3 linked regions of the Rattus norvegicus genome follow. The protein of the gene in region 2 purifies or fractionates together with the protein of the main gene of each other region. This does not show direct contact. Links are inferred from orthologs where the notes say so. Each region holds a gene or a part of one and is shown on either strand. Other genes may lie near its edges.

Region 1 (3,548 bases), on a different chromosome or scaffold from region 2:
GCACCGGGTGCTCAGGTGGAGGCTGAATGGCAGATGTGTGCACCTCGTTCTAAGCTTCACAGCTCTAACGAGGTAAGCACCTCACCCCCCCACTTTTTGGATGAGAGCGCTAAGACCCAGAGAAGGAACTTTTATCCAAAACCACAGAGCAGTAACTTGGGAGTAGGAGAACCAGGATCAAAACCCTGAACCGCCAAGGCTGAGTTCATGATCCCACTACACTAAAACATACGCATGCCACAGATGGGACAACTGGCTGAGTCCCAACCCAGCTTAAAGCAGGCGGCAAGAAGCCATCCAGGTTACTACTGCTAGAACTTTCATCGAGACCAGATCCGTCATCCACTGCCAGTCTCTCTGTATCCTTCCTGCTTCCAGCCTAGGAGCTCCTGGGATAAAGCCAAGCCCCACTCACACGCAGGCCAAACAAAGCGGCACAACCTTTATTTCCCTTCCCTAGTCAGAAAAGGCAAGTCAGACATACTATAGAGGCAGAGTAAGCTCTCCTCACGCAGTCTTTAACTCAGCACTGACCGGACCCACACCAGTGCTTTTTTTTTTTTTTTTTTTTTTTTGGTTCTTTTTTTCGGAGCTGGGGACCGAACCCAGGGCCTTGCGCTCACACCAGTGCTTTTAACAGTTCCACCCCTCATTCCAGAGAGGAGGGGAAGTTCTTCTGTGGACTCTGCTGGCATGGTGAGCAATCACAAGCACTTCTTAGAGAAGGCACAGATACTCAGGTCTAGAGTACAGTCAGGTCCAGCAGATCGTCAGGACCGGGTGTCCCGAGCCCTCCTTCGGGGTCTGGGACCACAGCTGGAACTAGGTATGGAGCCCAGGCCAGGAGGTGCACCTGGGGGTTGGTAGCCACATTCACTGGGGTCCAAGGGGTCCCGACTAAGCAGTACCCACACTGCAGGCACATGGCGTCGGACTGTGAGGGGGTCCAGGCCCGTGTCCGGTGAAGTTGGGACCCAGCTGTCCTCAGTTTGCAGGAAGCGAAGCTTGGTGAGCTGGTGTAGGCCCGGAACCCGCCGTTTGACAATCTCTGCACAGCTGACGGCCTTTCCAGCGGCCCGGCCGGAGCCTGAGAACACCACGTGCCTTGTGCTTCCTCCTTCCAAACGAGCCAGTGCCAGCCCTAGTAGGTTTCGGATTTTGCTCCCATCTCGGACCCGCATTTCCAGCGTGTCGGGAGGTAGCTGGGGCATTGGTGATGAGGCTGGGAGCTCTACAGAGCCAGCCCTCCGGTAGTGCTCCATTCTGCTTTCGAGCCTTTGGTGACTCTCTGGATATACACTGCGGGAAAGAGTCAGATGAGTGGCAGGAACATGATCACATGGACCATCCTCCATCACTCCCTCCAGAATGTGGTCCTGTTCCTCACCACGGAGAGTGCTTTTACACCCTCACCCCAGCACTTCAAGGCTGGGGCCGAGAATTATCTACCCCTTTCTAAATACATCCACGAGTCTCTAACATTGACAAAAACAAATTCCCAAAAACTAGGCTCTCTGGGGTAGGGTTGTGCTTCATCATCTCAAGCTCTCCGGGGCTAGGTCCCAGACCCCAGGCCCACAACTCTCTAAGAACAGGCAGGTTCTCCTCACTGGGCTTCAAGGACCCTGGGGCACAGCCATGAACCCTCACAAAGTACTCCCCAAAGAAAGGATCGGTCTCACCTACGGTGTGTGGGGGGCAGAGAAGACCTCACTCCCAGATTAACTGAGTAGGCTAGCTTGAACCGGGCCACTCGGGAACTCGCGGGTGAGGACTCCCCGGAGAGCTGCTCGGGCCACTCGTGAGCGGTTGGCGGACTCCCCGATCGTGGGCCGCTGTCCCAGGCAGCAGGTATCCCCCTTTCCCTAACTCTGAGTCCCCACTCCCTGGGATTTGGCTCTTACCACCGTTGCCAGAAGACGCTCAACCCTCACCGGGTAGCCAAGATGGCGTGCAGACCGAGAGCGCGCGGAGCCGCGGGGCCGCGCACGCAGGGGGCGGGACCTGAGGGAAACCCGGGTTGCTGTTCGACTCAGAGGAGCTGATGCTGTCACCTGGGCGGCCTCGAGCGTCAGCGCAGTGGTCCGCGGTACACACCGGCACCTGCAGAAGGCCCACCTGAGAGAGCAACAGCTATCGGAGGAGTCCTGAAGAATGCAGATTTGTGCCTTTAAAGGATGGATGGCACAGCAGCGAAGGCGACGTCCGTGGTGGGTACAAGCAGGCAAGACCCTTAGTTACGGAGTTCTGAGCTTTGTTCTCATCCTGGGACACTGATCAACCCCGGCGGTTTTCAGTAAGGTCTAAGCCATAGCTTGTGCATAACTCATTGGCCACGGAGGATTGGTTTATAAGCATGGCGGATCCGGTAGTGGGGGCAACAGATACTGGTGACCCTGGGAAGGGGCTGTACTCAACATCATCATAGCGCTTCGGCCACGGGGGCGTGCGCACAGAGCCTAGTCCAGTATCCAGGGTAAAAATAGGCCCTCCGATATTTGTCCAATGAGGTGTTAACCACCGAAACAGCAAGAATTGAGAAGAGGTGGTAGAAACTTGATAGAAACTTGTATGAAGTTTTGGGGACGCGCGGGTGACTATTCGGGTAGAATAGTTTAGGATGACTGCCAGTTTCAGATCCGTTTGGATACGCTGCATTTTGGATGCCAGCAACTCTACAGGTTGGGCTGAAGCAACTCTACAGGCAGTTGAAGGAGCTAAGGCACTCCCTCAGACCACAAGAGGGCAGCATACACCGGGTGGAGCGCGGTACTGTTTCTCCCTGTTTTCTCATCAATGTACCCTGATTTTCCTCCTCTCAAGATCCTAAAATTTCTTACATCTTGGGCTCCTCCTCTGGCTACTGGTATTATGTAGACACAAGGCAGTGCAGCCTTGGCTCTGAACGTCCATTCCTGCTCCTCCAGGACCACCTGACATGCAGGCCTACCTGGTCTTCCCCAAACCCTGTGTAGAGATTAGCTGTCCCTGCCTATGCCCTCCTTACTTACCATAGGATGTGATATTTAGAGGGTAGTTGGCAAATATAAGATAAATAAATATACAATGCCCCGCTGTATAGTCAAATGATGAGAGAACTCTATCTCTCAGCAAACCAGATCAGGGGTATAGCTCCTGGTCCCATCCCATGGGGTTGGCAGCTCTCCTCTTCACCACCCAGATCCTCACAGCCAAGCCCATCCTGTATCAGCAAGCCAACACATTGCTTTAGTGGTCTCTATGGTTTATTGTCACTGAAATAAATACATTTGACAGGGAGTACAAATCATGACCCTAAGGTAAAGCTGACCTCTGACCTCAGAGCCCCCAGTTGAACACAGACAGGTAGTATTTGAATTCAGAGGCAAAGCTGTCTCTGCCTTATAAAGACAGGTTGGTGGAAGGCCCTGGAGCCTGCCTACCTCCCCTGGTGGGGACATGGGGAGCAGCTGTCATTCTGCTGCTGGCTTCACTTGCTTGGCAGCCTCTAGCTGGCAGAGTAGCTCGTCCCACTGCACAAACTGCTTGGAGAGAAGCATTGTCTGGTG
Region 2 (3,651 bases):
GCCAGCACACAACAGGACCTGCCACTCTTCCACTACAGACTCCCCGCACAGCACTGGAGCCCAGCAGCCACCTTTCTGTTCTTTCATCTAAATAAGGAGTCTCTGAGTGATAACTGCCAGAAAACAGCAGTGAGGGAAAGGTGCGCAGCCATGTACTGCTACCCCAGAGGCAAAGGGAAGCTGGAGACAGGAGAGTGAAAGGAAACACAAGCAACCATGCTTCAAAGGAGGTCTGAAAGAGGCAAGCTGGGGAGCACAGGATGAGGAACTGTACCTGCTACTCAAATTACTGAGGCCAAACTTCTTTGCGACATTTTGCAACATCTTTACAGGATCATCTTCCCCAACACCCTTTCCCTTCTTAGAAGACTTGGGTTTGCTCTTCTGCCTTTCACTAAGTGTGTGAGCCTGGTTGCTTCTGTACACCTCAAATGCTGACTTCTGCTTATCATCCACATGGCAATTCACAGCATGCAGACGAGACTCTGGGGAGCCCTTAGAGTCTTCTGACTTTTTGTTCATGATCATTCTTGGTTTGAAGCCATGCGTTAAGAAGTCACAGGTATCTGTATACATGAACTGTAAGAGGTATTCGAATAAGTCAGGATGAACTTTCTCCACCACAAAGAGATGGCACCCTGCAGCATCTTCGTCTTTCCGGTAAACATCTGTCAGTTCTAAAAGAGTGCCATCTGAAAGGAACAACTTCTGGAAGAAGTCAGAGCGCACTGCCAGAACGTATTTATGTGCAGGGAAGAGTCTATTGCCAACTTGAAAGGTCACGTCATGGAAGCTGTCCATTTCATCTGTCTCCCTCAGGAGCTTGCCAAATTCTTCAAAAAAGGAGGATGAAGACACAACTGGAATTTCATAAAGGCTAGAAATGAAGCAAAGATAATTACTACTATGATGAAAACAAGAAAATGGATCCCAAACTGATTCTCTTGAAAAGAAATGGTTGACTTAAATTGAACTTAGAAACATTCAATTCTGGCATTTGGTATAATACAAGAATATCAACCCCAAAATGTTAAATATTCTATCAATCTTTCTACTCATGTCTGCATAAGGTTAAACAACTGAAAACAATAAAAACAAGAAAAGTTCCCAGGTTTTTCCTTTCTCACATAACTTATGTGAGAGAAAATAACAGAAACTAAGCAAATAAAACTAAAAGGCATAGTTACTCATGCAAGTGAATATATATATATATGATCAGTCTACAACCCTGAGTGCTGTATGCCCTCCCTATCACTATCAAGGGAAGTGATTAATGCCCTTACTCTGCCTCAGACTGGGAGGTTTCCCAGCTTATGACACATTCAGTGCTAAATTGGGGACCTGGGCAAACCACAATGGATGGATGGTCACCCAACATCCAGGTCTTCCTCCCTCTTCAACAATGCCACTGGTGCTGCTCTTCTCTTTCTCCTAGTATACTTAGAACACATGACCATACACATGACCTCTTTCTTGTCAATTATCATATTCAAAAGTCAGAAACTTTTACACACTACCTCAGAAGTATTTATAGTACATTCTTTAAAACCTGAGACCTCAAGTATAGCATGGACTAAAGACAGATCCTATGTGGGCATACACATTTGTCTTCAATGTTTTCAAAATCAGGTATAAACTAAGGGGAAGACACACTCTCCCCACTGATTGCTCTTGTACCATATCCATTTGCTGACGGTCTCTACAGATCTTGATAACAGCTCCTCAATTAAATATGCATCAGGAGCTACTGAAAAGAACAAAAAAAAATGGTCTAATGATTATTCCTTCTAAAAACATAATATATTAAAGACAATTATACCTTGTTTTAGGGTCTGACTGTAGGATTGCAAAGTTGCACCCACTTGGATCTGTGCTGACACTAACAGCTCTATGGGCAAAAGGAAGTTTCTCAAGTCGAATTCTTTCATACACACTATTTGTATCAGAGACACAAGACACATCTGATGAGGAATGATGTAGGTTTGGTAAAATGTCTGCTAAAAAGAAAATAAACGAACTATCATTAATCAAGGCTGCAATGAAATTAGAGTAACTAGAATAGAAAAATGATGTGAAAATATAAAAGTATCTTTCATACACATGAAGTTCTTCTAAAGAATTTAGAACCTCTCCATCTTCAACATAGCATTGCGATCTGTGTAATTACACAGAGAATTTCCAGAATTAGCCATAATTTCTTCTCCCAACAAATACACCTTCCACACTGCAGCCGAAGTTAACTTTCAGACGGGCATGCCTACCTATACTAATTCTGTATGAACCTCTGTGTCACTACACATTCCCTCCATTCTCTTGCAAGCACTGAGCAAATACCCAAATGACCACACTGTGCCACTACTGTGAGTCAGGACAAAATGTCCCCATCCTTAAGAAGAGTATTGAGAACATGCAATAAAAGTATGACTAATAACTAGTCAGATCCAGTCTATAAAAACAAAGTAGGAAATGTTTCCATGTAGACATGGCACCTATAACAATTATTCTGGCAACAGTAGAATTTTAAATGAGAAAATAAACACAAAGACTATTACTTTAAGTAAACAGAAATAATAAAAAATGGTATAGATTGGGACTAATACAATCAATCAGGAGAGGGGAAAAGGAATGATTAAAAAAAAATTAAGATGGGGCTTAGCAGTTAAGAGCACTGGTTGCTCTTCCAGAGATCCTGAGTTCAATTCCCAGGAACCACATGGTGGCTCACAACCATCTATAATGGTATCAAATATCCTGTTCTGGTATGTTTGAAGATAGTGACAGTGTACTCATATACATAAATTAAGTTAATAAATATTTTTTAGTAAATTAAGAGAGGAGTAACATGACGTGGTACCTGCTAAATGTAAGGGAAGGGGACGGGGTCTCACAGATAGCTAGTCACCAGGACAGAAAAGCATGAGATCATGGACTCTGTGTCAGACCACTAAGAGAATGATGCAAAAACTCTGAAGATTTGCAAGTCTTCTTACAAGACAGACCCACACTCTGGCTACACTCTCAAAGGCAGTCTATTCCAGGTTCCTGGACGTCACCATGTTTCCTCTAACTCTCAGCTATTCCCATCCCCTGCTCTTAAGAAACTCATGAGTACTTATATTAGTTATCTGTCTCAGGGAACGCTACATAAAAGGTATCTCTTGGCTCTATAAGCTGTCAATCCCATATTTTTACACCTTGCAGGTTACAGACTTGAGTCATCTATAAAAAGATAAAACACAACAAATCAATATAATGTAAAACTCCCCATTTCATGCTTTATAATTTTGAAGCGTTTCTAACAATGAGCAGTCATAAATGCTCTTAAGATACTCTAAGCATATAACAAGTGACTCAGTGACTCGAGAGGACATAATGAAAGACCACAATGCCAAAGAATATATTAAATGCTAATGACAGAGAGGGACACTCATGCCCTGTGCCATGTGTGACCTTACAGTCTGTGGCAAACAGGCGCTGAACTAACCACACAGACAAATACACAGCTTAGAGGTCAGCAGAGCGGTACCCAACACATCGAAGGCTGACTAGGGTACTTAAGTGCAGTCATACTAACTGACCTTTCTTTTCAGAATTCTTTCTTTTGTCTTCAAACCATTTCCCTTTAAATCCTTCCCCATCCTGTGTGACAAA
Region 3 (3,161 bases), on a different chromosome or scaffold from region 2:
CTCTTCTCTTGGAAGAGGAAATGAAAACTCTTACTTCCCTTAACCAAAGTAATCCCACCCCAAACCTGACTCAGGCACCTCAGCTCTAGCCACCCGCTAAAGTAATTTAAATGTTTTCACAATTAAGCACTGATTGGTAGTGGCCTTCTCAGTGGGCGGTAGTCTTAGTTACCATGTGAGGATGAGGCAGTTGACTCACACGGAACTTACCTAAGCCAAAACTTGCTCTACTTGGCAGTTTACAAAGCAGGCAAACAGGAAGCCTTTTCCTCATTGGTAAGAAATTCACCCTCACCCATGTGCTTCAATCCCAGCACTGTAAGGCAGCAAGCAGACCCAAAAGGCCAGTTTGGCCTATATAACCGCAGGACAGCAAGGGCTACAGAACCCAAGGTAATTAGCACCCACATTTGGGTTATGACTAACACCCAGTTGAAGTCTTTGAACCCATTACTACTTTTTCAAAACTGGGAGCAAGTGACACTTGTGTCTTGTGCTAAAGCCCACTACCAAATTTCAGTAGTGTGGGTCATTTGGTATTTCAGGAAGCAACATGGCAAATTCAGGAAAGAACTAGTGCAGGGGCAGCTGAACCACACTAGTAACTGCAGGAGAGGGAAGGGAAGAAACAAGAAGCCCAAACAGGCAGTTTCCAAGTAATTTTATTCAGAATTTTGTGTTTGTTTCCTGAATCAATAAATACTATACAAAACAATGTAAAAATGGCTACCATTTTCTCTCCCCTGCTCCCCTCACCTGGGGACAAGTCCCTGGACAACCTCATTCAGGGGGTTCTCCCTGTAGATTTGGTCCAGCAAATGAGGCCAGCCATGTTTTAGCCCCTTGACTCACTTTTGGAGATTTGGCTGGGGTAGGAAAGCCTTTAGGAATGAGGTGATTAGGTTAGGGAAATGCATTAGTGTTTGGGGGGGAAGGAGACGGCGCCTGGGGCAGAGCCTACCCCAAAGAAAAGGGTGTCTAAAATGTTCACGGTTCCTTCTTTTTGCCTCAAAAAGTGACATTTATTCAAAGAGAGAGAGAGAGAGAAAAAAAAAACAAAACAAAAAAACAAAAACAAGATGTCCATCCCTTGGCTCCCTTCCCTCCCCCCTCCAGCTGTTCCTCAGCCCTGCCCCCAGGACTGAACCCTGGGCTAGGGCCAGGTAGCAGGACAGCCCCTCAAATGAGGTCAGCAACGTTGAGGGGCATCTCTTCAATGGAGGTGTTGTAGAAAGTCTCAATGTCTCGAAGAGTCCTCTTGTCTTCTTCTGTCACCATGTTAATAGCCACACCTTTCCGGCCAAACCGACCACCTCGACCAATTCTGGGGGGGGGGGGGGGAGGTTAGTTTAAAAAGGCGTTAGGTTGGGGAAAGGAACGTGTTTTTTTTTTTTTAAGCACAGGGAGTGTTTGATCTGTCAGACCAGGTAAATACCTGTGGATGTAGTTTTCCCTGTTGGTGGGAAGGTCATAATTGATGACTAGGGAGACCTGCTGCACATCAATGCCTCTGGCCTAGGTCAAGAAAGAATAAAGCCATCAGAGGACACTATCAACCCTAATTTAGTAAGCATATATGTAGGCTGCCAAAGGAGGGCAAAGGAAACAAGTATTCCTTGTTCCCCAGAGACCTTGGACATGCCTGGCTTTCTTCCAAGTTGCTACGTTCCTAAAAAGGGCACATAGTCAGCCCTTTGGAGAGGGAATCACCTTGGGCTATTTTCTCCCTTTCTTTCCTTAAAAGAGCATCTACTCACCAACAGGTCAGTGGTAATTAATACTCTGCTAGAGCCAGACCGGAACTCCCTCATGATCACGTCTCGTTCCTTTTGGTCCATATCTCCATGCTGGAAAACAAGGTTAGGAGCAGCTAGCATAAGGCTCCTAACACACAAAGACACATCTATCATTAACAAGACTGAGAAAACTCACCATGGCAGAAACTGTGAAATCCCGGGCATGCATCTTCTCAGTGAGCCAGTCCACCTTCCTTCTGGTATTAATAAAGATTACTGCCTGGGTGATGGTCAGTGTTTCATACAAGTCACACAATGTGTCGAGCTTCCACTCCTGGAGATCAGGAAACATCAATCAGGAGCTATACCCAACACTTATTACCAGGCCCGCCTCCTGCACTGGGCCCCACCTCTCGTTCCACATTGATGTAGAATTGGCGGATACCCTCCAGGGTCAACTCTTCCTTCTTGACAAGAATCCGAATAGGGTCTCTCATGAACTTCTTAGTCACCTCAAGGACATCAGAAGGCATTGTGGCAGACAGCAAAACTACCTAGTGGGAAAAATGCCCCAGCCATGATTGAGTGCACTGTACAATCAAATCACAACCGAGCCACCGTCCCTCCAACACCATCTGTTTTACCTGTGTGTTGCTGTTGAGCTTTTGGAATATATCATAGATCTGATCCTTGAACCCACGGCTTAGCATTTCATCTGCTTCATCCAGGACGAACATCTTGATGTATTTGGGTGCTAGATGGCAGGAAAAAAAAAACCCCAACATATAGTAATCAGACAAATGTGAAATATATTGAGGTCTCTTGATAAGGCAGGCAGAAGGCAGACAGTCTGCTCTCAGAATGCAAGGACTGATCCTTTGCCCTCGGCTTCCCTGATAGGTCATGCAAAAGCCCTGGTAAGTAGAACACTACCTGGGCTAAGGTTAACAGGGAAGCCAGGCTCAGATGACACGCATGGGGTTCATCACAGAGCAACTCAATTCCAACTAAAGGAAAACTCATCCAAGGAAATGAAATGTAGAAAAGAGCCCAACAACTGTTCCATGGCACTCACACAGGTATCTCCGGTTAAGCATATCGAACACCCGGCCAGGGGTGCCCACGATGATATGGGGAGCTTCCATTTGCAGCTTCTGCACCTCAGCACGCACGTTGGTGCCCCCAATACAGGCATGACAAGAGGCACCCATGTAGTCTCCCAGTGCCATAACCACCTTTTGAATCTAAATGTAGAAAGGCATCTACATTAACTTGGGCAGTACCAGTGAGTTAAGTCTTTCTTATTACAGACAGGAATTATCCCACTCTTAGCAACTGAGAAACAGGAATCCACTTAATCCTCTTCCAACACCACCAATACCGCCACCAAATGGCAATGCTGGATCCGTCCACACAGGTTCACAG

What was found.
Region 1: the proteins of Ibtk (region 2) and Rpp25l purify together in Homo sapiens (co-immunoprecipitation; 3 studies listed by BioGRID and IntAct, with this or other methods). This does not show direct contact. The link is inferred for Rattus norvegicus from reciprocal best matches to the Homo sapiens genes IBTK and RPP25L.
Region 3: the proteins of Ibtk (region 2) and Eif4a1 purify together in Homo sapiens (co-immunoprecipitation; 4 studies listed by BioGRID and IntAct, counting the BioPlex papers as one, with this or other methods). This does not show direct contact. The link is inferred for Rattus norvegicus from reciprocal best matches to the Homo sapiens genes IBTK and EIF4A1.

What each region holds. Positions count from the first base shown.
Region 1 is NC_086023.1:61,673,870-61,677,417, forward strand, and holds Rpp25l (ribonuclease P protein subunit p25-like protein), read right to left. Parts: upstream 1,953-3,548; 5' UTR 1,905-1,952; exon of another isoform or gene 1,683-1,904; intron 1,300-1,682; 5' UTR 1,263-1,299; coding exon 771-1,262; 3' UTR 552-770; downstream 1-551. Other genes in the region: Dctn3 (dynactin subunit 3), read right to left, coding at 3,453-3,548. UniProt on the Homo sapiens protein: May be a component of ribonuclease P or MRP.
Region 2 is NC_086026.1:95,547,170-95,550,820, forward strand, and holds part of Ibtk (inhibitor of Bruton tyrosine kinase), read right to left. Parts: coding exon 3,579-3,651; intron 1,998-3,578; coding exon 1,820-1,997; intron 878-1,819; coding exon 275-877; intron 1-274. UniProt on the Homo sapiens protein: Acts as an inhibitor of BTK tyrosine kinase activity, thereby playing a role in B-cell development. Down-regulates BTK kinase activity, leading to interference with BTK-mediated calcium mobilization and NF-kappa-B-driven transcription.
Region 3 is NC_086028.1:54,882,449-54,885,609, forward strand, and holds the end of Eif4a1 (eukaryotic initiation factor 4A-I), read right to left. Parts: intron 2,981-3,161; coding exon 2,812-2,980; intron 2,731-2,811; exon of another isoform or gene 2,589-2,730; intron 2,491-2,588; coding exon 2,381-2,490; intron 2,291-2,380; coding exon 2,147-2,290; intron 2,071-2,146; coding exon 1,933-2,070; intron 1,848-1,932; coding exon 1,758-1,847; intron 1,718-1,757; exon of another isoform or gene 1,575-1,717; intron 1,516-1,574; coding exon 1,436-1,515; intron 1,325-1,435; coding exon 1,180-1,324; 3' UTR 645-1,179; downstream 1-644. UniProt on the Homo sapiens protein: ATP-dependent RNA helicase which is a subunit of the eIF4F complex involved in cap recognition and is required for mRNA binding to ribosome.